4 linked regions of the Drosophila melanogaster genome follow. The protein of the gene in region 1 interacts with the protein of each later gene in a pairwise test. Each region holds a gene or a part of one and is shown on either strand. Other genes may lie near its edges.

Region 1 (7,844 bases):
ATAAGCCACTTTGGTCTATCAATTGGACTAAGAAACAATGATTCCTTATAGATAATTTTCTTATCGCATTAAACTGTACAAATACTATTACTTGTATTTAAAAATAAATTCGTTCAAACGGACAGGGCCAGCATCAAGTATTTATTTATTTTAGTTCTGCTAAATAAATATTTTTAAGACCTAATATGTGGGCAGTAATGAAAGAAAGACATGATATTTTTGATGGCGACAAATTCTAATTAGCTAAGTGGGGCCAAGCTCAAAATAATCTATGTTTATGGTATTCCATGGAAATGCAGTTGTGCCATTAGAAACTGCTCCTATTAAAACCCCTGTTAAATATTGTGCATAAAATTGTTCAACGGGTCATTATAATACAAAGTGCAAAGGCCAAAAAGAGTCGAGTTCATATTCTTACACTTGTAGCTTTTTAAGTGGCTCGACTTGGAGAGGAGTTTTTAGAGTTGCGAGATACAGATGCAATGCTTTGCGGATCTTGCTGAAGCACGAGACGAGTAAAGGCTAAGCTGAGGAGAAGTGCCTGGCCTAGAAGCTCGCGCTGGTAGCGCTCTTGTTGTGAGAATTCGAGGCGTAGGTCAGCGGGAAAGTCGATCTGTTTGTGCAGCTTCAACGGGGGCTCTGTTTCGGGGATCTGATGTTCCACGTTGTAATGGGTTCGCATCATGGCCAATATCGTATCCTCGGACGACACGCGCTCAGTACCCACCATGTGATTAAATAGTCGGGCTGAGAGAAAACGTCGCATGTAGTAGACGTTGTTCGTCTTGTTCTCGTCGCCATCTGATCGGGCCATCAAGGAGAAGCTCATGATTGCGGAAACCTGGGCCTTCTGGATGTTCACGTTCTGTTGATCGATGCTCCCTGGGTTGCTGCTGGCCTGGGCCATTTGTGGACTCTCCATGACGTAGCAATCGGCCACGGGTATCTGGTGAGATACATAGAGGCATCGGCGGGAAAGTTCTGACAAATGCAGCTTCTTGTCGTTCAGCTCATGGTGCTGCCAGTGCGTGAGCAGACAGGGAGCTTCGTTGCTTCCGATCTTTAATCGCGCCCAGCTTACACTGGTCACTCCGATGCGCACCCCTACAGCAGATACAATACGTGAACGCTGTCCCTCGTCCATGGCCGGTGTTATAAAGGGCGCGACTCGTGCAGTCTTTGGTCTATTTTCCCCTACTTGTGCGCTCCCACTGCTCGGCGGCGCAAGCAGACTCTTAAAGAACTTGGTGGTCACCTTCAGTCCGAATCCCTCCACATACAGGATGTCGCTGAGTTCCTGCAGCGGTCCGTGACGGTTCTTCCAGTTTTGCAGCTTGGTTGCCCTTGCCTTGGTTATGTCGTAGCTGGGCGGGATAATCAGTATTTGTGCAAGGCAAAGTGCAGGAGTGGCTACCTACTTGGCTATCTGATTCATGCTGCTTTCATTAATCGTCTTCAAGATCTTCAAACGATCTGCATCCGAGTAGGCGGGCAAGAGGCCGATGGCTTGGTCACATTCCGGCTGACCCGATCTGTGTTGCTGCGTGGACGAAAGTCTTAGGCATTTTGTCGTTACGCCCAACAATGATCGCCGGCACAACATATTTTCCAGTATATGATTTATATTTGTTGTTACTTAATTTGATATCGTCTATACAGCTGTTCGGTTAGTGGGACCAAGCTCATTTTTTCAGTTTTTCTAATTAATCGATATACAATGCTACACCATCGACGGCTACAAACAATTTATAGCAACTAATTGTTAAGTGAAAAAGATGAGAGAAAAGGCATGTATTTCACACAGCAATCATTATACATTTTAGGTAAAACTACAAAGGAAATAATTTATAAATATAATATAAATCACATTATTAATTAATTTTTAAAGAAGAAGAAACTGGAGCAGTCCGTATAGTATGGCTAAAGAAAAATGCTAAAATCGCAGCACTGCACGCTCTCTGTCCTCTCACATTCTCTTTCACTCTCGCTGCGGGAACTCGAAGTTCCAGTCGGAACGTCAACGTCGAGTGGGCAGTCGTACGTCGATTGTTGAGCGGCTGTGGCACATATATAAACAATAAATACAATTCGTAATTTTAATTGAATTAAGACAATAACAACAACGGTTTCTGGGACTCGGTTGCCTTGCCATATGTGACACAAAGCACACACATGCGACCGTAAACTCAGAACTCTGTATTTGCGCGAATGTGGGTGCATAAAAGTGAAATTTCACAGCGACAAGTGGAAAAGAAAACGGAGAAAGGCAGAGCTGTGGCCAAAAGAAAATCCTGGTCATGTCATGCAACAATAACAACAACTATAAAAACAAAACCACGTACGGCTATTCGAACAACAATGATACCAACTGCATCATGCAGAAGCCAGTGCCCGCCTCCACCGCACCCGCCTTCCCTCAGCTGATCCAGGCCAGCTGTTCCAACGCCGTGGAGGTGGATCCACCAGACAGCATTGTGGGGGCTGCCGGCAACTCCGAAGCTCTCTTCGCCGCCCAGCGCACACCGGACACGTCGGAGGACAGCGAATGTGACCCGTTTCTAGCCAGTCGGAGAGCTACCCGCTCCTCCGCCACCACCTCTGTGCTACACAACCGGAAGCGCAACTCGTGTTGGGGACGAGCCCACAGCTTTCTCACCCGCAACTGGTACCTGGGCTGCTTAGTGCCCGCCACCATTCTAGGCGCCCTCGTCTTCATCGGATGGGCGACGCGGGACTATGCTCGCCAATTGCTCTTTTGGATCGAAATGCAGAACGCCTGGATAACATTTGCCGTCTACATGGGGCTCTTCGCTCTTGTCAGCTTCCCCGTGGTGGTGGGCTACTTCGTTCTGCTCATCACCGCCGGTTACCTGTTCGGCTGCCTGCGCGGTTGGGTCACCGTGATCCTGGGCGCCAATATCGGCATAGCCGTGGCCCATGCCACCATTCGCAGCTGCCGGCACCGCATTCCCGTCCAAAGGTGAGTTGCGCGTCTGGTGACACTTCATCGACTTCTTAAAATCATATATTTATGCGTCTTTAGTTTAAAACTGCTTCGATATTCCAGAAACTAATTTGTGCACTTTTACACGTCATAAGCGGCATAAAGCGTAAAATTTAAAAAGCTAAAAATCGAAGCTCCGTTGAAAATACAGAGTTTATTTATCTGTTCGTTGAGTAGTGTTAAATACTACGCATACAAATCCCCAACTGTTGAAAATTAGGTGTACTATCTTCTAAAGTCATGCGCTTTGCTCTTGTAGGTACACTCCGTTGAAAATAATTAATTGTGTCTATGTATCCTTGATAAAGATCTCCAACCGATTCCATTTGTCCGTTTGTCTGTTGTGATTTAACAAACTAATCCGCGCAATTTGGTTTTAAGTCATTGCCGCGATCACAAACGCAGTAACCTGTTCTACACTTCTTAAAAAATATTTCAGTTTTTAAATAATAAATTCATCTCTCCAATAATCAAGAAACAGTGGTCACGCACAAAACGTTAATATTTTTAATACTTTTAAGCGGAAAACTGATCTTTGTATTGACAAGTGCTACAGAGTCCATATGCCCATTTTACGAGTAGTACATATTTAAATTTATTGCGATCAGGGAACCCTATCTTCCATAAGTCTCGCTTTCTTGTATCTAGCCCTTATATTACCCATTGCTCTGTGTGCTTTTTGTATTCTCCAATGCTGCGGTTTCTTCGAAATTTTAAGTATTATGCCTGGCAAGAGGTGCGTCGCGGTTGTTCCGTAGTGGCCCCACCGGATAGGAGTGATGTGCTTCTGGTGCTGCCAACGGTCTGGCCCTCCGAGCTTACCAAGAGGATCCGCCCGCTCTCAGTGCCCGACCTGATCGAGAAGTTCTCCTGCGATGCCCCTGGCGGACAGTTCGCCACAATGTCCGAGTACCTGCGCAGCGATCCACGGCCCGACGGAGTTCTCCTGCCGGATGAAATTGATCTGCACCGAAAAATGTCCCTGGACGACCTTAATTCTTATATGCACGCGAAGGACGCATTCAAAGAGCCGCACAGGAAAAACCGCATATTTTCGCACGTTCTTGTGGTGGCCGGAGCTGACTCAGCTCGGAGTTACCCCTTTCGGCAGAGGCCTGACTTCCTCTATCTTTGCGACTGCTTGAGACCAGGGGCAGCATTGGTTCTCACCCGCAGCCGAAAGCGAAATACTGGCGCGTTGCTCTTTCTTTCCCAGGATGTGGACTCCCAGCTGTCCACCATTTTTAGCCATATGCACTACGTGGACGACGTTCTGCCCCTCGCAATGCTTAAGAAAAGTTTACTCTGGCTGTTAAGGGATCACTCGCCCGAGCTATGGCACTTCTACGACCCATCGAGTCCTGTCAGTTGTATAGTGCAAGAGGTGGCTAATGAAGCCAAGATTCCTATGGGCAATCCCCGATACATCCTCCAGTACACACGCACCGTCAAGACCTCGCGGGAGCTGAGAGCCCTGCGTCGGGCTAACGCCACCGCTGCGGACTCCATGGCGGAGGTAATCGCACAGCATCATCAGATTCCTCAGGAGCTGGCCGCTTCATTTGACTACAAGTGCCGTTTGCGCCACGCTCGTCCCGACGTGACAAAAACTTCGTGCGGATTGGATGGCAATGGGCTGTGGCAGATGGACGCTGGATGTCAGTACGGAGGCTACGAGGGGGGACTGGCCAGATGCTGGCCCAGCTCGGGGCGATTCACGCCGCCCCAGAAAATGATTTATGGTGCGCTGTTGGACATGCGTCGGGATCTGTGCTCGTTGATACAGTACGCAGGATGTGAGGGTGCCGTCCGCACACCTCTGGAACTGCACGCCGCCTATTTAATCCTTCTGGCTCGGCACCTAAGGGAGCTCCGCGTGTTGCCTAAGGGTGTCAGCAGTGCAGCCGAGACAGTGGAGTTGGCTCGCAAGTACAACTGCTCCCCAGTCGTGGTCTCGCACGTGGGTCTGGGAAAGCGAGACACCAGTCGCAGACTCCTTGACTATCCCTTCGCTCCCGGAAACGTGATGTCGCTGCGGCTGTCAATCTCTATTCCCGATGACTGCTGCCAGGCCTACCCCGAGTTCCGGGGCATTCTTTGTCAGCTTGGCGACACCCTGCACGTCCGGGATGATTACTCCGTGGATCTACTTACCGCCGCCTGCCCCAGCGAGCCCCAGGACATAGAAGTCTGTCTACCTGCAAGCCGAACCAGATCGCATAGATTGCGGAATGACGGTGATCAAAGTGGATCTTGTGACACACGACAATTGCAAAGCCACGGTGACGGCGACTGAGCAAATACATTTGCCCAAGGAATATCTGATAAGGGCAGTTATTCCGCAAAATCGATATCGCGTATCCACATCGCCGGTACATATAAATGTGTTGTATGTTTTGTATATAGGTACTAAACGCTCATTTGTCATTAAACCCGTTTGCAATTAAAACCCGCCTCATTGGGTAAATCCCCCTTTAACGCTCAGTCGGTTTTGATCTCCTTATCAGACATTTGTCGCGCCTGATAGCAGCAAGCTTTTAATTTCCGACAATTACTAAACTAGGTTCCAATACCCAGCGGACATAATTAATCAATTACAGAGGCTTATGAATTTTCTTTAAAAATAACACATTTATTTAACATCACATTTACCAAATAGGCACACCTAATTAAAGGTTATTTGTGTGATAGCATGAAATCAATGCCTACCAATTTTTATGAGGGAGCGTAAACTGTTTCATCGACGAACGGTGGAACTGGCTGATAGCCCCAATAATCATTTCCTGATTGTTGGATAAACTCAATTAGAGTCAGTAGTTGGGTGTAATTATGTATATATGTACATATGTATACTTAATAAATTAAGTGATGAGACCCGTTCGATTGCATCTATTTGCAGGCTGATCAAGAATGATACGGGACGAGCCATTCTTCGCGTCATTTCTGGCCCAAAGGCATTTCGAGTCGTTCTCTTTACCCGACTTACCCCCATTCCCTTCGGAGTGCAGAATGTGATATTCGGAGTAAGTGACTAGATTTTGTCAGATCTATTGTTATTCTTGAACTTGTTGTTCAGAAAAGGGCGAGTTCGAAATATCTAGATATTCTCTTATTGTTTGCCAATTTGTCACTTCAAGAATTTTATTTATTAACTTTAAGAATTCGAACGTAAAATTAAATGGAACAAATTGAAAATGGACCAAATATTCGTCACACTGACATGTAAATAAAATTTTGCAAAGCTTTGTGAATCTATATGAATAATTATTTATACTGCAATATTTAAATAGCTAATTATACGAATAATACAGAGACGGTTACGTTGTATACCTAATATATGTGCATATTCGTCAAGTTTCTATGCAGTTAAACTGAACAAAAACCAGTTTTCCTTAAAAATTAGGTGCTAAATCATGGCACGCTTAAACCATTTAGTTTCTATATCACACTATTATTTTCACAGATCAGTTCCATCAACACAAGAGACTACCATGTGGCCACGCTGATTGGTTTGCTGCCAGCCCAAACCATCAATGTTTACTTGGGTTCCACGCTAAGGTCCATGCATGAAGTGCTCAGTGATAACGATACCAAACTGACGGGGTATATCAGCTTCCTGTTTGAGGTATGTTCGCTTTGGATCGCAATTGACCTCTTCTTAGATCATATGCCTAATAGTTTTTGAGTTTGTACATTTGAATTGCTTCATTATTGCTGTTTAATAAGTCCACAAGCTCTTTGTTTAATTATCTTGTTTTATCTTAAGTTATTTAATCCACAATGTGTCTTTTGTGTCTTTAAGGTAATTTGCGGCGTGGCCTTGATGTTCTGGGTATTGCAGAAGGCCAGAAAGGAGCTGTCTGAGACGTTGCTGAGCGCTGATTACAATAACGAGGGCAAGCATCCCGACGTACAAGTTTAACAGGAGCCACTTGGGGAACGGAGTCCTACAGGACCCCCAGCCAAAGAGAATCTCCTGGACTTTAACAGAAGACTGCGTTTTTGCATTACCTAGTTCAAACTAAGGCGGTTTTCGAGTTGTTTTATTTATTTATGCTCAAGGCAATGCCATTGAAACCAAACATTAAGCTAGCCTTAGCAGATACGGATTCAAATCACACTCGTTCCCTAAAACTGTATGAGGGTGTGTCATGCTTCACATCACACATTACTTCTAAGAATTCCTGAGATGTACATTTATAAATAAGTCAAAGCCTCGCTCAAAGACCGCTAGCTCGAAGACTCGATTGTTGGTCATAATGCTGCTCTATAATGTTGTTCAATTATTAGTTTGTAAGCGAATAAGCAAATAAATGAGCTCTAAAGTACAACTTTTCTACATCATCATTGTGCTGTTTCTCCAACTGCGAGGGCTCTTGCTCATATGAAATTTAAACGCTTCCTCCAGTGTCTCCAGGGCAAATTCCACGTCTTCGGCACAAAGACACAGTGGCGGTCTCATGCTCAGCACCTGAAGAGAAGAGGAAACTTCAAATAATGCGAAAATTATTATTATATTAATGACCCTCCGTCCTACAGTGTAGCATCAAAAAATGTAATCTGGAAATTTTACATTTCATGGGATCTTTTTACTGGTCAAGGCCAGGTACTAAATTTAAAACTGAAACAACAATTGTTGTTCTAAAAGATTGTGCTTTAGGAATAACTTGTAAGGTAATTGTCAAATAATGTTCGTGCGCTTAAACTTTTGAAAATCTACATTGGTACCCAATTTTTACACGTTTAATACGTGCTATATATGTAGTGCATACTTTCAGTCATTTTGTATTTAATGCTTATGTTGTGTCAAAATTTTATATGTATATCCTGCTACCAATAA
Region 2 (5,471 bases), on another chromosome or scaffold:
CGGGAATCCTTGTGCTGATGACCACTTGGGTTTATGGACGCGTTCGTTTCCAGTGCGACTTGCAGTTTATGTTAGGCAAAACGATCTCAAGTTTCAAAATTTTCTTTATACGCTTTGCCACGCCCATTTTTCTGGGACTGTGTCTGGTGAGTAGTGGTTATTATTATAAAATTATTTGTATATAGTTAATGACTGATATTATTGGAATTTCTTGCAGTTTCAACTAACCTATTTATTTACGCGTGATCGCATACACGATGTCCTGATTTATGTGAGTCAGGGCTTGATTCTCCTAACGGCCATATCTTATATGGTTTACAAGGTATGTCGGACGAATGGCGATTGGCGCCAGCGATTGCAACAGTGCCTCGCACCACATGACTGGCATCCGGTGGATGCGGACAACCGGCGATTCTACGAGGAAATCATGGGCATCTCGGAGATGCTGGTTATAGATGCCAATGCCAACACCACATAGTGCCTAAATATCGAATACTCCCTAGATCAAAACTCAATACTTACAGCGTCGTCACTTGACAAATGAACTGAACTGAACTCACTTTTATTATACACCCATATGCGGTCACATTCACACATGCAAAAAATACAATAACAAACACGCACACTAGTATATAAATAAGCGGATCCATTGGCAATGGCGATTGTTAGTTGTTGTAATGAAGTTGTACTGATATTTTCCAAAAGCTAGCTATAGTGAACAATATACTGGTGATATTTAGTAGTTTCCTACTAAAATGTTCAACAAGCTTCGGCCAAAAATATTGTTATGAACTAATAAAATTTTACCTTTTAGGCATTGAAAATGTTGAAGTCTTTTTTTGAAGTTGGTAAACGTATAAGGAAAAGAGTTAAATTTATGATATACGGCTGTCAGCACTTTAAACTATTTAATGTCGCACTAATAATAATAATAATTTTGGAATTTTAGTTATAGAATATATGACGTTTAGAGTAGATTGTTAGAAGCATGTTTTTAAATGCATGCAAAATAATAATAGTTTGAAAAATATATGAGGTAATTGTATATTATTACCTAAAACTAATCGCTAATAACAAACAAACATAAGAAAAAACAAATATTAAGACATTATCAATGCGTTATTGAAATCAACAGCCAGGGCGTTATGGGGTTTACTTGCTTTTGCATTGCTGTCTGAGTTTTCCCCCAGATTTGATAACTTTGCGGCTGTCTTGTTTGTCATCCCATTTCCCGAGCACGACCATATCAGTTTCCAGTTCCAAAATCGAAATGAACTTGGCAATGCACGACGATAGGCGCACATAAGAGAGACAGGCACAGATATAAGAGCTCTAATAATCTGAATTTAAAGCAAAATAACAATAAATGCAAATTTATGGTCGAGATCGGAAATACACTTACAAAACGTGTAATAACAAATTTACAATTATTTTGATAACCGAAAGCTTGAAACTATAGATAACTCGCTTAGATATATATTTTCCTAGCATATCTTTATTTTGACAACAGATCTGTTTGAAATTAGAGGGAGGTTTCAAATGAATCTCGGTATAAAGATACCCCACTTCCATAGTAATAACTGTGTGATTAAAGACCAAGTGTGCATCGCCTAAGTTGGGGTATCTCATTCAAGAGGGATGAGCTAAACAGAGGCCTGCTGTCGGAATCGGATTCAGTTTGCCGGCATCGGTTCTACTAATTAGTCCGTCAATTTAGAGTAAAACGCTCGCGGATCGGTTGCAGAAAAAAAATATATATATACTAATATTACCTCTGCGGGAGTGTAAAATTAGATCGTAGTTATATATACTTATTTACAAAATTTGCTTAAATCCATTCTCGCCCACATTTTGGCGGTAATATTGTGGGTAGTTCAACATGGTATATGAAACATCGTATGATACCGGGCATAAACCCTTTTCCCCCGATCTGAATCGAGGAAAATGGGATAAGCCAACGGACTTTATGTTCGCCTGCTTTGGATTAGCCTTGAAGTTGGATGTCTTTGTGGCATCGTTTTGGATGTTCTTCGACATGGGCAGTAAGTAACGCAAGGGCGACTACGTATATTATATTGCTGATAAGGTTCGGATTTAGACTAATCTGTGGAGGGGCGGTGCTCTGCTAATGTTCTCTTACCTTCTCATCTGACATACATACAAAACAATGCCTAATTCTGTCGATATTTATGTATTTAATGTAATAATTGTGTCTCTTTATACAGCACAAGAGATAACAGTTTATACATCAGAATTTAATCTTTATCTTTGAATGCATTTATTTAAATACACTATTTGCTTGGACCAGTTCTTGGAATACTGCCGTACTTTGTATATATGTCCATTTACTTGGTTCCCATCATGGTCATTCACTCCTTCATGGGTCAGTTCTCCAGCAGTGGATTCATCTCCGCCTTTCGCCTGTCGCCTTTCTTTAAAGGTACGTACGTAACCGAGAAGTTTAAACAGATATTAAATATTGATCGAAATATCAATTTCAGGCATGGGATATGTGAGTGGATTTTTAACTATCTCCATGCTAATTTACTATAGCATTTTTGCTGCGGTTCCACTTCTGTTCATAATAAACTCATTTCGACCCACTTTACCTTGGAGCTGTGAGGGCTTGAGTTCTTGGCACAATGGAAGTGCAACGCTATCTAGTGTATGAAATTTGTGTATGACTAAATTGAATTGAAGACTAAGTACATTTTTTATATTTAAGTCTTGTAATAAGACACTGATCTTGGAGGACTTTTCGGAATACAACAGATCTCACCAGCTGCTCCATGTACCATCCGTGCTCTATTTTCAGTAAGTGCTCCTATTTATATAGCAATAAAACATTACCTAATTAATCCAATGCAAATATTTTAATATTATTTTAAGAATTGTTTAAAAATAATTTCTTTTTAACTCTATGTTTACAGAAATCACTATGATAGCATGCAACAGGATGCGGTTCCGGATTGGTATAAGGATTACGAGTTGTCTTGGCATTTTGTTGGCCTATTCGCAATCATTTGGGTTGTGATTGCATTTATTTTTTATAAATTCTCAGAGACGGCCAAGTTTGGAAAACTTATACGCTACATGGTGATTGTTACCCTGGTTCTTCTTTTAGTGTGCTTTGTGCGATTCCTGTTCCTTCCGGGAGCTCTTAACGGGCTCCACAGATATGTGACTCCAAAGGCAAGTGACATGGCCATGGGAGTAGTGTCCACATTCATCATGGTTCTTCATGCATTCGGAGCTGGTTGGGGCAGTGTAATAACTCTGTCCAGTTTCAACGGTTTCAAGACTGACATCATGTCGTATAGTTGGATTATTTCCTTTGGACAGATCTTCATTTATATCATGTTTGGCATGGTTTCCTTTATGCTGGAACACTACTTTAATGGTAATAGCACTTTATAGATTTGCAATATCTTTACTGTATTGAAGTTATCCCTTTCAGAACTATCCGATGTTGATGATAACGGACATGTTTTGAGCCATTGGCTGCTATATTTGTCAAGTGCTTCTGCCTTGTCCACAATGGCTTGGCCAAACCTATGGACTTTTATATACTATTCTATGCTTTTAATTGCTGCTCTAATTGTGATGGTGATGATAATCTACACAATTAATTTTTATTTTTCACGCTACTAAACTTAAATAATTTTATTTTCAGACGACGCAAATCTTCACGGTTTTGCAAAGTTTGTTTGATGAGTTCGAAGTACTTAGAGTGAGAAAACAAGAGGTGACCTTTGGGCTAATTGGAGGTATTGCACTCTGCTCCTTTTACTTTTGCACCAATGTAAGTACTTAAGTTTACACAAAAAAGATATATTATTAAGAAATATTTTAAACAATTTTCCGTTTCTAGCATGGCATTATTTTCTTTTCGGCCTTGGGTCTTGATGCCATTTTCTCACATAGTTTGCTGCACTTACTGCTCCTTTTGGTGGTTTTGTGGATCTATGGTCGCGAACGATTCCAGCGAGATATTGAGTTCATGTTGGGCCAGCCCTTTGCCTCCTGGAAGGTTTTCATACTCCGCTTTATAGCTCCAATAATTTTAGTCATTTGTCTGGTTAGTTAGTTAGTTAGTTGCTTGTTGCTTTGAATAATCATATTCTTTTAACTAACTAGCTCGCGGGAATTGCTCTGTCCATATCGGAGCACTCTTATTCCACAACAGTGGTCTTCGTGATGTCAATTGTCCTCGTGGTTTTGCCCATTCTGGCCATTCCTGGATATGGATTTTACTACCTCTACCAGAGCACGGGCACCTTTTGCGAACGCTTTAAACGCACCTGCCGACCCACCGATTGGTATCCGGTTGAGATGGAGCACCGCCAGCAGTACGAGGAAGCTGTGGACAACACGGAGATGACCCACCAACTCTTCGAGGTTACTGAGGAGGTCAACTAGTTACTGATGCACTTAGAAATGTACTAAATATAAATATATGAGTAATTTTAATGCGTATTTAAAAAAAGGTATGCATATATATACAATCATATTGTGAAAGGTGGAAATGCTACACTTATTGCACTATGCTTACAGCAATGGGTTTTACAGCGTTTATCTCACCTGAATCGATCAGGTTCACACGTGTGACTGTCCAGAGAAACGTAGATATCTCGGAAAAGTTAATAAAGTTGAGCTTAAAAAATCTGTGACGTCCACAATTATAATGCTTACATAGTTTGTCTATCGAGAGAGAGAGAGAGCTTTTAAAAACGTGTAATTATTAATGTAGTTATTGATTAATTATGGTTATAAGCAAAGTACTCTTATTGACGTCATGTTAGTGTATAGAAATGCCTTTTAATTTCAGAATGCCACTTCGGTGACTCACTACTTTTAGGAACGGTATTAGTTTCATTGAGATGTTTGTTTTAACATATCCAAATTAATATACATCATATTACATTAAATTATTAGGGATCTTCTTACTGTCTGTTTGAACTTGTTCACATTACATAGTATTACAAAGTAATACCGACTATTTATTCAAAAAATTATGCTTAACATTATTTCTTAAAAGTGTATTTGATGGCCGATCTAGTGTGAATGGTCCGGGATAGGCTATGAGCATCTCAGTCCAGTGGAATCAGCTACACTGCGGTTTATCAGCGGAATCGGATTTAGTTCGTCCGCATCGCTGCTACTAATTAGTTCGTCAATTTAAAACGCTCGCGAAATGTTTGTTGTTTGCCAAAGCTTTTAATAATAAGTACCTCCATCGGCGTGTGAAATTGGATATATTTCTTTTTATACAAAAGTTTTTCAAATTCCTTTGCTCACACAATTTACCGGGCTATACTAACGTCACAAAATGATATATGAAACATCGTATGATAGTGGGCACAAACCCTTTTCCCCCGACTTGAAGAGAGGAAAGTGGGATAAGCCCACCGACTATATATTTGCCTGCTTTGGATTAGCCCTTAAACTGGATATATTTGTGGCCTCGTATT
Region 3 (5,195 bases), on another chromosome or scaffold:
ATTGCGACTCCCAACTTAATCGGTCCGAAGTTTGGCCATCGCCGTCTAATGTGCTTCGCCAAACTTTTGGGTCCGGCTCAAAGGCAGTTGGCACCTCGGACCACTTTCAGTTATTTACGCAGCGTCGCCTGAACCTGACAATCAGCAGCAATTTGCCTCAGCGCCTGGGATCCGCACTCGAGTCCCATCCACATCCACATCCGCATCCGAATTCTTATTCTTATTCAGAAAGCATCCGATAAGCATAACAGTTGTCGTCGTGCCGCCGGCTTACACCTTGAAATCGGATTTTTAGGGTGGGTTCAGTGATGAGCAAATAAGCAAAAAAAGTTAAATTAAAAAAAGAAGTACGGTTATTTATCAAAATAATTTTAAAATATTATTATCAAAAAACTTTTAAATATTATTTTGGAGTAATTTTTCTAATTAGATACATATCAGGTCATATTTTATGCCTTTCCAACCGGGAATGGTATTTTTCCATTAGCTGAATGGGTTTGAAATAAGCAAGAAAAAGGATATATTGGCACCTCTGGTGGGTTCGGTGGTTTCAGTGGGTGGCTGGGCGTCTGGCGGCGGTGCGCTGCTGCCAACAAATCGTCGCCAGATGGTGGCGACAATAAAACGTTTTACAATGTAACCAAGGCGACGACAAGGAGCAGGATCCGTGTGGCCATGTGTGGACAACAATGTGCAACAAAGTTCATAATTGTTTATGGCGACGGCTTCGATTTGATTTTTATGTCTTCAGGACTTGGGGCAGTGATTGAGTGTTGGTCTCAGGCCACAACCAAGGGGAAAAATGTTATAACCTCTAGCATTCAACTGTTGTAAAGAAACCTTAGAGTTTTTACATGCACCCGAAATTCAATTAAACAATTGTAAAGTAATATATTTAATGGTAACTCACAACTAGTCGTTTCACATACTTTCGAAACCATTTAAAACTTAAGTACGTGCATGAAATGAAACTTTAAATTCACCCTCATGCATCCATGGAATCTAAAGGTATAACATTATGGCACATAAGTTGCTTTTCGTTTTCTATTTGGCTTAATGGCATAGAAACATTAGGGATGAAATTTCAGACTATAATATTCCCCAACCTGCGGGCCCCGAAACTCCCGCCAGTCCGTTGGCTTCATTATATTGAAACTTTGACGTCGTTATTTTGCATAATTTACAGCTCGCTTGAATGCAGCAGCCAAGTATATTTCTATAACTACGCCGGTGATGGGCGGAAAATGCGGGGGGAAACTGCGCGTGTCGGTTGTCAACGCTACCTTGGCACATGCGAAACGTGAACTTCGAGACATCGAGTTAATGATTCGCACTTGTTCGCCCCCGCCACGCCTCCTTTTTCGACGTTTATGAGGCAGTAATGAAGTTGATTTATTACATTACACGACTTCTCGGGATCTTCGATTTCTTCTTCAGCTCAACGCACAGAGCATTGAACTCTGCATAGAAAATAGATACGAAAATAGACGCATTGTGACTGCAGAAGTAGCCGGCTGAACTCAAACATCTGTTCCGCTAGTTCCGCCGGATCGAACCATTTCCTAGATGGCTATAAATAGATAATGTAACGCCCTAACTCCAATCTCAGACACGCGTCTGCGATCGTCAGCCGCGACTGAGGGCTAAATTTAGAATGTGGAGAAGTAGGGCCCGCCAGCCACCCAAAAACATTAGTGTGGAGCTCCAACTTCAGTTTCCTTAGGAGCGCCATGGAGTGCAGAGCTGTTCCCATTCTACCCACCTATTCTCAAGCCTGGTTCGTAGTGCACAGTTTTGGATTAGCAAATCTACTAGTTAGTTTTTATTCAACAGTGGTACTCCTATGCCCCGGAAAACGTCCCTCTGCCGTACACTCTTTGATTATGGTCCTCTAAACGATCCGGTGATCATACTCATAACACTGGCCGTCGTAGTTGGATCCTTTTGCCTGCTCAGCGGATTCATTTTACTGTGCGTTGTCTCAAAAGCCTGGCAGGATGAGACTTCCGAGGCCATTCTCCTAATGGGTGAGTAACAGTGCTATTGAATTGATTGTTCCTATGATGAACTTTGGGTTTATAGCGATTGGCTTCTTCATCACGGCTTTGTCCTGCGTATCGTGGAAATTGACGCGAGCTCAACGAATTTCCCAGTTAGTGGATGCCCTCAGCGTAGATAACCAAACCATTTAGCTTGAAAGTATCTAACGTAAGACATATGAAAACTACGAGCTTGCAATTAGTTGCAATATACCTGATAAACTCTAAAACGTTCAACATTAGGGGCTGTCCGAAGTAAGATTGGTCTTAAGTTGTTTTTCCTATTCGCTTATGTTAAAGTACATGAATTATCTTATCAATGTCACCTATTTAATAATCTTGTTTGCTTTATAATAATATAATAATAATAATATTTAATATTAATATTAAAATATTAACCGAGACTCCCTGGTTTCGGACTAACTTAATACATAAGTGGGCTAATCAACGTGCCACCGCACGCAAAGGATAACCTCTCATTCGGTTTTGAAAGATTCAATTGCAGCAAGGCCATCCAAAGTCGAGATCCCATTTGAATCTCGCTCCCTCCAGTTATCTTCTGATCCCCGAATTCTCCGCACGAACTCTCACTGGCAATCAGCACGAATTCCTCACAGCAAATGAATTTCTTTGAAAGATTGGAATATCAGCATATGTCGCTTTGTTAAATGACCACTCACTTTAGAATTTGAAAAACAAGGGGCATTCCTCTTTATTTCCAAGTCCTTGGCGGTCAGCTGGTCCTTTGGCTTCGAAACTATTTTCGCGATGCACTAACATTCTCTGTAGTGTAAGCATTTGCCTGGCTTCTGATCGTAGGTGGTGCAGTATGTTTGATCTTGGGGAGGGAAACATTACTACAGGTCACCCCTCATCTGCTGGCACTTACAGGGCTTCTCTGTTTGGTTTCCAAAGGGAACTGCTTGTCCGGATTGTTGACCAAGTTTAAGGCATATGACCAGGAGCAGCAATTGCAAAACCGTCATTGCGCCACCAAGCTCTGATATGAACTGAATGCAGAAGACAGTCAAACTTCAGAGGAATCTCTGTGGATTATCTGATTACAGGTAGCTTGATTGCATATTGCAGTGATTAAATTTACAGAGAAACAAATAATGCTGCAGTGCAGGATAGAGAACATTAAATATTTATTTTAAATATAAAAAAGGGTGAAGAATGAATGCGTTGATACCATTTCTGTTAATATCTTTGTTTTCGGCTAACATAATTGTATCTTAAAGCTGAATTTTTACTGAATTAAGAGAAGATTTGCTCATCAGTCATATTACTAGCATAAAGAGGTTTTCGGTTAGATACACATCTAAAGAGTAAACCATATTGCGAATTGTAGGTAACAAGAATTTGATCCTCACTCCATCCTGCTCTTAAGGACATGACCTACCCCTGGGCATCTGGAGGCGCAAAGAAAATGCAGCTGCTTGCGCCCCTACCTGAGATCAAATAGTCCTTGATCCTCAGTCCGAAACGAGAACTCATCGAGAGATGCCACACTTGCAGAACATCGAGCGGGATTTTCCCCTTAACTGGACCTTGAATCCCATTCGGATCTCTAGTAGTCTCGCCGCAAATACTCTTTCCTTATATCGAAAGATCTCGCAAAACATGTGGCGCAGTTGTATTCAATTTTGCCATAGTCCCAAGTTCCAGCAATATGTTAGGTAAGTTTGGATACAATGATATTAGATATACATATAAAAAAATGTCCCTCCCTATATCGATTCTTCCAGATTCCTCGAGTCCAGTCTCTGTCAGTTTTAAAGAGCAATGATCCAAGAAAATGCGTCGTCGCCTCGTCTTCAAAACAGATTGCTTTTGATTTGCAATCTTGGCACGTTGACGATGCCAAAATTTGTTAGTTGAATTCATTATAGCGATACGCAGAGAGTCAGTCAACGATCTCGTTCCGAGAGGGGGGTTTCGCTTTGTTGTTTCAGAGTTCTGAAATACAACAATTTGTGGCATTGTAAAGTGCTCGTAACGCGATTGGGTTTGGGGCATTTCCAAGTCGGCGGCTGGGAAACTACCCTTGCCGCAGCAATTCCACCATCCAACCTTCAGTAGGGGGAAAACACCTCGCTTGGAGCTGCAATAAATTCCGGTCGCTATCAAGACGAGCGTTCAGTAACGTTTCAAAGCCAGACGCGCTAAGATTGCTAATTCCAAAGCTTCGACCAGTCGACGAGCATCAGAACATGGAGCACATTCGATTTGTTGACAAAGTCTTTAGAGCCCTGATCGCCGGCACCCTGCTGCTCCTGATGACCGCCATTTACCGGGAGGACAACAACTCCGGATCCCACTACATCCATCCAAGACACGCCATGCAGTAGCTCCATCGTGGTCTACTAAGATCGATTCAACCTAGTCCGATGCAATCGAATCTCTCGAAAGTGCGGCACAAAAACCGGTTGTGTATATTGCCGGCTCGACGACATATCGCCATATCAACTAACTGCACAAATAATGTTATGTTATATGTTAATAATGTTAATGTTAAGAAACATGTGTAATTATCTATAGCTCATCCCATCGTAACTAATCTAACTTATGTGCTATAATGTTAATACTTAGAAATTAGTTTTAGTGTGAAAATATAATATAAAATGCAATGTATATGAACACAACCATTTTGCTCAACTTGCAGATAACATGGGATCGGGAGGGCTCTGAAATATCGATTAGCAAGAGCTATTCGCACTCTTTGCAAAACAGGTTGCAATTTCATGCGATCCGAACTTGTTTATAGAAAACATTTTTAATGGGCCAATTTCAAACGACTTTAGCACGAATTTCTTTCTTTATCCGTGGCATACTCTAGAAGCTGACCTTAGCTAATATAAGCAATCACGTTTTGCTTATTGGAACAAGTGTTTTGAGCAAATTAAATTTCCGTGCAAAAGAGCTACAAGTGATATGAAGAACATTGGTACATACGACTAAGTTTTGCGGTATTTCAGTATTTTAAAATTGTTTTAATAAATAAATAAAAAATTACTAGAAAATGTATTATCAAAACTAAAAAATGTTTAATTATTTAAACATTACACAATGCATTTAAACAATTTTTCAATCTACATACATATCCTCCTAATTTTACATCACCAACGCTTAGCATGGTTTTCAACCAACAATGTA
Region 4 (5,309 bases), 7.2 Mb from region 1:
CGCACATGTTGTTTATGTTCGAAACTCACGATTAATTTTATTTTACGCCGCAGAAAAGCTTAATAAATGCAATCAGGATGAAGGTGAAAATGATTAGTCGCAATCCGGATAACTATGTCCGAGAAACCAAACTGCAACAGCACAAAAGTAAGTTCATATACGAAGAAAGACCAAAGTATTATAAGAATGCCACTTTCAGTGCCCAGGAACTACGATCCTTCGCTGCATCCTTTGGAGGGTCCCAGGGAATACGTGCGTGCCCTGAATGCCACCAAGTTGGATCGAGTATTTGCCAAACCCTTCGTCTGCAATTTGAGCGGGCATCGCGATGGAGTCTCCTGCTTCGGAAAGCATCCCAAGCAACTTTCCACCTTGGCCACCGGCGCCTATGACGGCGAAGTGCGCATTTGGGACTTGGCGAATCGTATCAGCTCTCGGAACTTTGTGGCCCACGACGGTTTCGTTCGCGGCATTGCTTACACCCAGAACGGAGGTCGCATTTTCACCGTGGGAGATGATAAAACCATCAAGGTTTGGAAAGCAGAGGCTCCGGAAGTCGGCGAGGATGAGGTGCCGGTGAACACTATACTGAGTAAATTTGGACTGCACGGCATCTCGCACAATCGCAGGGATAACAAGTTCGCCACCTGTGGCGAGGTATGCGCCATTTGGGACGAAAGGCACAACGATCCTTTGAAGACATTGAAGTGGGGCGTCGATACCCTTCACACCATATCCTATAACCCCGTGGAAACAAGCATCCTGGCGTGCTGTGCCAGCGATCGCAGCATTATCCTGTACGATCAGAGAGAGGCGCAGCCACTAAGGAAGGTCGTCCTAACCATGAAGAGCAACAAGCTCGCGTGGAATCCCATGGAGGCGTTCAACTTCACAGTGGCCAACGAGGATTGCAAGTGAGTAAAACGGCCATACGAAGAGGATGTGTTGCTAAAATCTTTATTTCTTACAGCCTTTATACCTTTGACACTCGCAAGCTGCAAACGCCGCTGAAGGTTCACTTTGACCATGTTTCCGCTGTCACCGATGTTGACTACTCGCCCACTGGCAAGGAATTCGTCTCGGCCAGCTACGACAAGACCATTCGGATCTACAATGCCCACCACAGTCACTCGCGGGATATTTACCACACAAAACGCATGCAGCATGTGGTCTGCGTGGCCTGGTCCCTCGATAATCGATACGTTTTCTCCGGCTCCGACGAAATGAACGTCCGCATGTGGAAGGCGAATGCCTCCGAAAAGCTGGGCGTCATCCGTCCACGTGAGCGCGTCAATTTCAATTACCAGGAGGCGCTGAAGCAAAAGTATGCCGCTCATCCGCAGATCAAGCGCATCGCGCGCCATCGCCAGGTGCCGCGTCACGTGCTCAATGCACAGAAGAAGATGCGCACGGTCAAGGAGAAGGAGCAGGTCAAGGAGGCCAATGTGCGCAAGCACACCAAGAAGAGCAAGAAGGTGCCCTACGTCAGCGAGAAAAAGAAGCATGTGCTGAAGGAGGAGGTGTGAGGATGATTGCTAACGACTGTAGTTGGATAAGTTTGAATAAAATTGATTTTTGTAAGGAGACTATGTATGTATATATTAAGAAGCCTAATCTCAATTGAGTTTCTCACTTTCTATCATTGTTCTCAAGTGACTTTCAGTTTGGTCAAGTCAAACCGAAGTTATCAGTGAATTTGCTTAGTTTAAACTATTGTTTGGCTTTAATTCAGTGATACTAGAAGAAAGAAGATGTTGATAAGTTCTAAGGAATACTCTCCTGTTGCTCTAGAGAGAAAACTCATTTGCTTTGCCATGCAGCAACGTTTCGCGGAAATTTGAAATTCAATTCGTATCCGATAAGCCCTCGCGGGCGATAACGTTTGGGGAAAATCGGAGAGACGCGTCCATTTCTAGGGGATTCTCGATTATAAAAGGTTGCCAGCCCCACCGTTGGTGCTCAGTATTTGTTCGTTTGTTGTTACGGCAGCCGCCAGTCGGTCGTTAGTTTTTGTTTTCGTTCATTTGTTTATACTCGCGCGGCACTCGGCCCCCCTCCCGTTCCCACATAACCCGTTTGAAAGGCATCAACTGAGAGTCATTGAAATCATGGAGGCACTGGGGGATCTCTTGGCGCCACACAGCGAACTAATCGCCAAGGTAGCCGGCACCATAACTACCCTGCAATTTCTGTCCGGAGTGGTTCTGATGAACGACATCCGCAAGAAGGGTAGCAGCGACGTCTACCCGGTGGGCCCATTTCTCTTCGGAGTGGTGCTGTAAGTAACCTAATTGGGATTCCGTGATGCTCCACTGCATGCGACATCGAAAAAAAAACTAGTGGGCAGGGGGCAGGAAAAGCGAGTGAAAAGAACAAAAGCCAACGCATCTGTGTGGGAATTGATTAAATTTTAGAACTGTCGCCATGACAGCACAGAATCGAGTCTCTTCAAGGCCGCCAGTGAATCGGTTTTGCACACAATTCAAGAAGATAACAATGGAATCGATTACATCACTGCGTTGGCCAAATGGGAATTACACTTCGATCATCCGCGACCGTTACATTTCGAAATCGTTAACCTTGTCGAAAATCCGCCAGCAGCACTTTTGCCGCCTTATCGATGCGAGAACCCTCCAAACACGTAGCTCTTATCTAGAGTGTATAATTTTAGAGCTCCTCTATTACGAATGCTGATCCGGTAGAGTCTGTCCAAATCTGGGAGAGCCGCTAATCGTTTATACGACGGGCGAAAGATACGCGACTCGCCCTCTCCACGTGCTCGGCATAAAGCGGGGCTGCCCAGATTCCAAAGGGGGTGGGCCACCCAGTGGTGGTGATGGGAATATCTTGTCATCTATAAATATAATCTTCTCTAATTATAGCCGTAAGGCTTGTCCATTACTGCATATGAATAATAGTGTTTGCTTAGCAAAACATAATATTTTTTTAACTATAGTTTCCGTAATAATACATTTCTTTAAACAATTCCAAATTCCTGCTGGCTAAAGCACTAAATGTAGATGAACTCTCGAGGAATTTACCTTTTTATTTTTAAATCGTAAACTTTCCACTGTTTGTTTTGAACATCTCAAAAGATCATAAAGTGCCATATGGCAGCAAGTGAATGAGTACCATCAAGTGAGTGTGCCATCACTGCGCCGGGGCTTACTTGGGGGTGGTTTTCCGGAAGGTGTTAACTTGGACTGTGTCAAGTGTAAGGACCCGCAGACATGCAAGCGAAGCAACAGTTGTATGCTAAACGAATTCCACTCCACCCAATGGGCGCTCGAGGTCTCGGTCAAGGGCAGGTTCCTCGGCCAGTTTGCATTTCATTTCGCCCAGCCCGGGTGTATTTCACCATTGTTGTGGGTTTGTTTATAGGTTGATCGATGATAATGCTGATTATTTGTTGAGCGTTGAGCTCCTTATCAAATGCTACGTGTACCATGATTTGCACGCCGGCCCTATTATGCTTATTTATCTATCTCCACCTAGTATAGAATCTGATAACGCAATTAATAAGTGTAAACTGGTTTTTTTTTTCAATGAAGTGGTAGACTGGAGCACTTTAAATGAAAACTAGTTCCATTTCTCTTGATTCGAACTTTCTGTAGCGACTTACTGCTGGAAAACTGGTTCGGGCAGGGTCAATTAATTTGAATTAATTATAATATCCTCAGAAAACTATGCTCTTATCTACAAGTTAACTGGAATTTATAAAATTTCCAGCCTTATATTGAAGAATATTTTAAAATGAATATGAATGGTAACAGTATTACATTTTTGTTTAAATATAAAAACCAAATTTTGTCCTAAATTAAAGTAACTAATTAACAAATTGTTGAACTTTCTAGGACCGTTCTCAGCTTGAAGCTGGCCAACATTATGAATGATGCTGCCATGATCAATACGAATTTAATCGGCCTGGTGATAAACTTCGTCTTCCTCTTCGGATTTTACTACTACGCCTCGAGCGCCAGCAGGAGCAAGATCTGGAAGCAGATTGGCTATTCCTCGGTGTTCCTATTGGCCATCACCGCGTATGCCAACTTCGAGGATCCCGCCAAGATTGAGTTCCGCCTGGGAATGCTGATCACCGGCATCCTGGTTTGGATGGTGGGCTCTCCCCTGCTGCATCTGCCGAAAATCATTGAGAAGAAGAGCACCGAGGGAATGCCGTTCCCGATTATCTTTGCCGGTAATCTGGTGGCATTTTCCTGGACGCTGTATGCCATCTCCATCAAGAATACTGTGATGGTGGTAAGTTAGCAATTAATTCTATTAAACGAGAATGTAAATTTGAACCGAAAATTCTTCTATTTCAGCTGCAGAACCTTTTGCTGCTGGTCCTGGGCGGCATTCAGCTCTCCATGTTCGCTATTTATCCCAACAAACCGGCTGCCGAGAAGCCCAAGGACAGCAAGAAGGACAAATAATTGAAATCGAACGCTTTACCTAGAAAAAAGGACAAATAATGGGTTGTTGCAACAACATTACCAAGTAATAAGTAGCTAGGCTTTGAGGAATAATCAAATTATTGCTTGAATTTACACTAAACCGCCACAAGAAAACTAAATTTGAGCTAAACGAATTATTTTTCTATATAGGAAATATTTTCTTAGAACAAATCCAGCTAACTAAGTTGCTAGCTAACCTAGAATTGTTATTATATTGACTATTATTGTATATAACTACTACATACTTGCAATTTTTGACAATAATTCAAATCTTCCAAATGCATACGTATTTATAAAGTCAACATAATATGTAATAAAACAATCTGTTACAAAATCGAGTGAGTTGATGGTAAATGCCATTGGGCATTTCCCGTTTAGGCTGCTGGCACCGTGGAATTGTAGTGGGCACCCAATTGGTATATGTGGCGGTGGTAGCAGATGATCAGCGGTGATCCACCGAATTCCTCTTGCCCCAGGAGCGTCGGTGCTCCTTCCGCTTGGATAACTTCAATGGGCACCCGGAGTAGCGATGAGATGGCCTTCAGTTCTATGTGGCCACCCCAAGCGTGAGTTTTTGCTATGTCGTGGCAGTATTGTTCGAATTGTTGGTCGTTCAGAATGTCTCCTGTTTCCGGGTGGATCATGTATGAGATAAGCGAGTCCTTGTGAGCACGCACATAATTGGCAGTTTCCTCCCGCAACTCCTGAACACTGTGACCTTTGGTGCAATTATTATGGATTAGTTTTGGTGCTGTGTGGACTGAATCGTGAAGCATTACCTGGAAGAGCATTTACGATAAGTTGGTGTCTGATGGACTGATATAAGCAGTCGCCATCGGAGGGTATATTGTG

The links.
Region 2: the proteins of CG11367 (region 1) and CG13795 interact in a two-hybrid assay, tested with the Drosophila melanogaster proteins (one large-scale study listed by BioGRID).
Region 3: the proteins of CG11367 (region 1) and CG30080 interact in a two-hybrid assay, tested with the Drosophila melanogaster proteins (one large-scale study listed by BioGRID).
Region 4: the proteins of CG11367 (region 1) and CG7272 interact in a two-hybrid assay, tested with the Drosophila melanogaster proteins (one large-scale study listed by BioGRID).

What each region holds. Positions count from the first base shown.
Region 1 is NT_037436.4:22,726,114-22,733,957, forward strand, and holds CG11367 (uncharacterized protein), read left to right. Parts: upstream 1-1,997; 5' UTR 1,998-2,297; coding exon 2,298-2,980; intron 2,981-3,652; exon of another isoform or gene 3,653-3,695; coding exon of another isoform or gene 3,696-5,300; exon of another isoform or gene 5,301-5,487; intron 5,488-5,899; exon of another isoform or gene 5,900-5,903; coding exon 5,904-6,027; exon of another isoform or gene 6,028-6,467; coding exon 6,468-6,629; exon of another isoform or gene 6,630-6,806; coding exon 6,807-6,926; 3' UTR 6,927-7,333; downstream 7,334-7,844. Other genes in the region: mael (maelstrom), read left to right, coding at 1-4; CG14450 (uncharacterized protein), read right to left, coding at 431-1,364, 1,419-1,603; CG32454 (uncharacterized protein), read left to right, coding at 3,696-5,300; CG11241 (uncharacterized protein), read right to left, coding at 7,341-7,475.
Region 2 is NT_033779.5:7,722,504-7,727,974, reverse strand, and holds CG13795 (uncharacterized protein), read left to right. Parts: upstream 1-1,676; 5' UTR 1,677-1,879; coding exon 1,880-2,042; intron 2,043-2,308; coding exon 2,309-2,440; intron 2,441-2,501; coding exon 2,502-2,665; intron 2,666-2,725; coding exon 2,726-2,814; intron 2,815-2,930; coding exon 2,931-3,400; intron 3,401-3,457; coding exon 3,458-3,606; intron 3,607-3,673; coding exon 3,674-3,802; intron 3,803-3,871; coding exon 3,872-4,078; intron 4,079-4,137; coding exon 4,138-4,419; 3' UTR 4,420-4,930; downstream 4,931-5,471. Other genes in the region: CG13796 (uncharacterized protein), read left to right, coding at 1-146, 218-478; CG13794 (uncharacterized protein), read left to right, coding at 5,330-5,471.
Region 3 is NT_033778.4:15,698,211-15,703,405, reverse strand, and holds CG30080 (uncharacterized protein), read left to right. Parts: upstream 1-1,709; 5' UTR 1,710-1,730; coding exon 1,731-1,777; intron 1,778-1,833; coding exon 1,834-2,027; intron 2,028-2,082; coding exon 2,083-2,192; 3' UTR 2,193-3,542; coding exon of another isoform or gene 3,543-3,718; intron 3,719-3,787; coding exon of another isoform or gene 3,788-3,818; 3' UTR 3,819-4,252; coding exon of another isoform or gene 4,253-4,390; 3' UTR 4,391-4,680; downstream 4,681-5,195. Other genes in the region: CG46433 (uncharacterized protein), read left to right, coding at 3,543-3,718, 3,788-3,818; CG42662 (uncharacterized protein), read left to right, coding at 4,253-4,390.
Region 4 is NT_037436.4:15,498,983-15,504,291, forward strand, and holds CG7272 (uncharacterized protein), read left to right. Parts: upstream 1-1,955; 5' UTR 1,956-2,108; coding exon 2,109-2,278; intron 2,279-3,854; coding exon 3,855-4,260; intron 4,261-4,325; coding exon 4,326-4,436; 3' UTR 4,437-4,787; downstream 4,788-5,309. Other genes in the region: CG7275 (uncharacterized protein), read left to right, coding at 78-147, 200-914, 971-1,526; CG7857 (uncharacterized protein), read right to left, coding at 4,832-5,175, 5,237-5,309.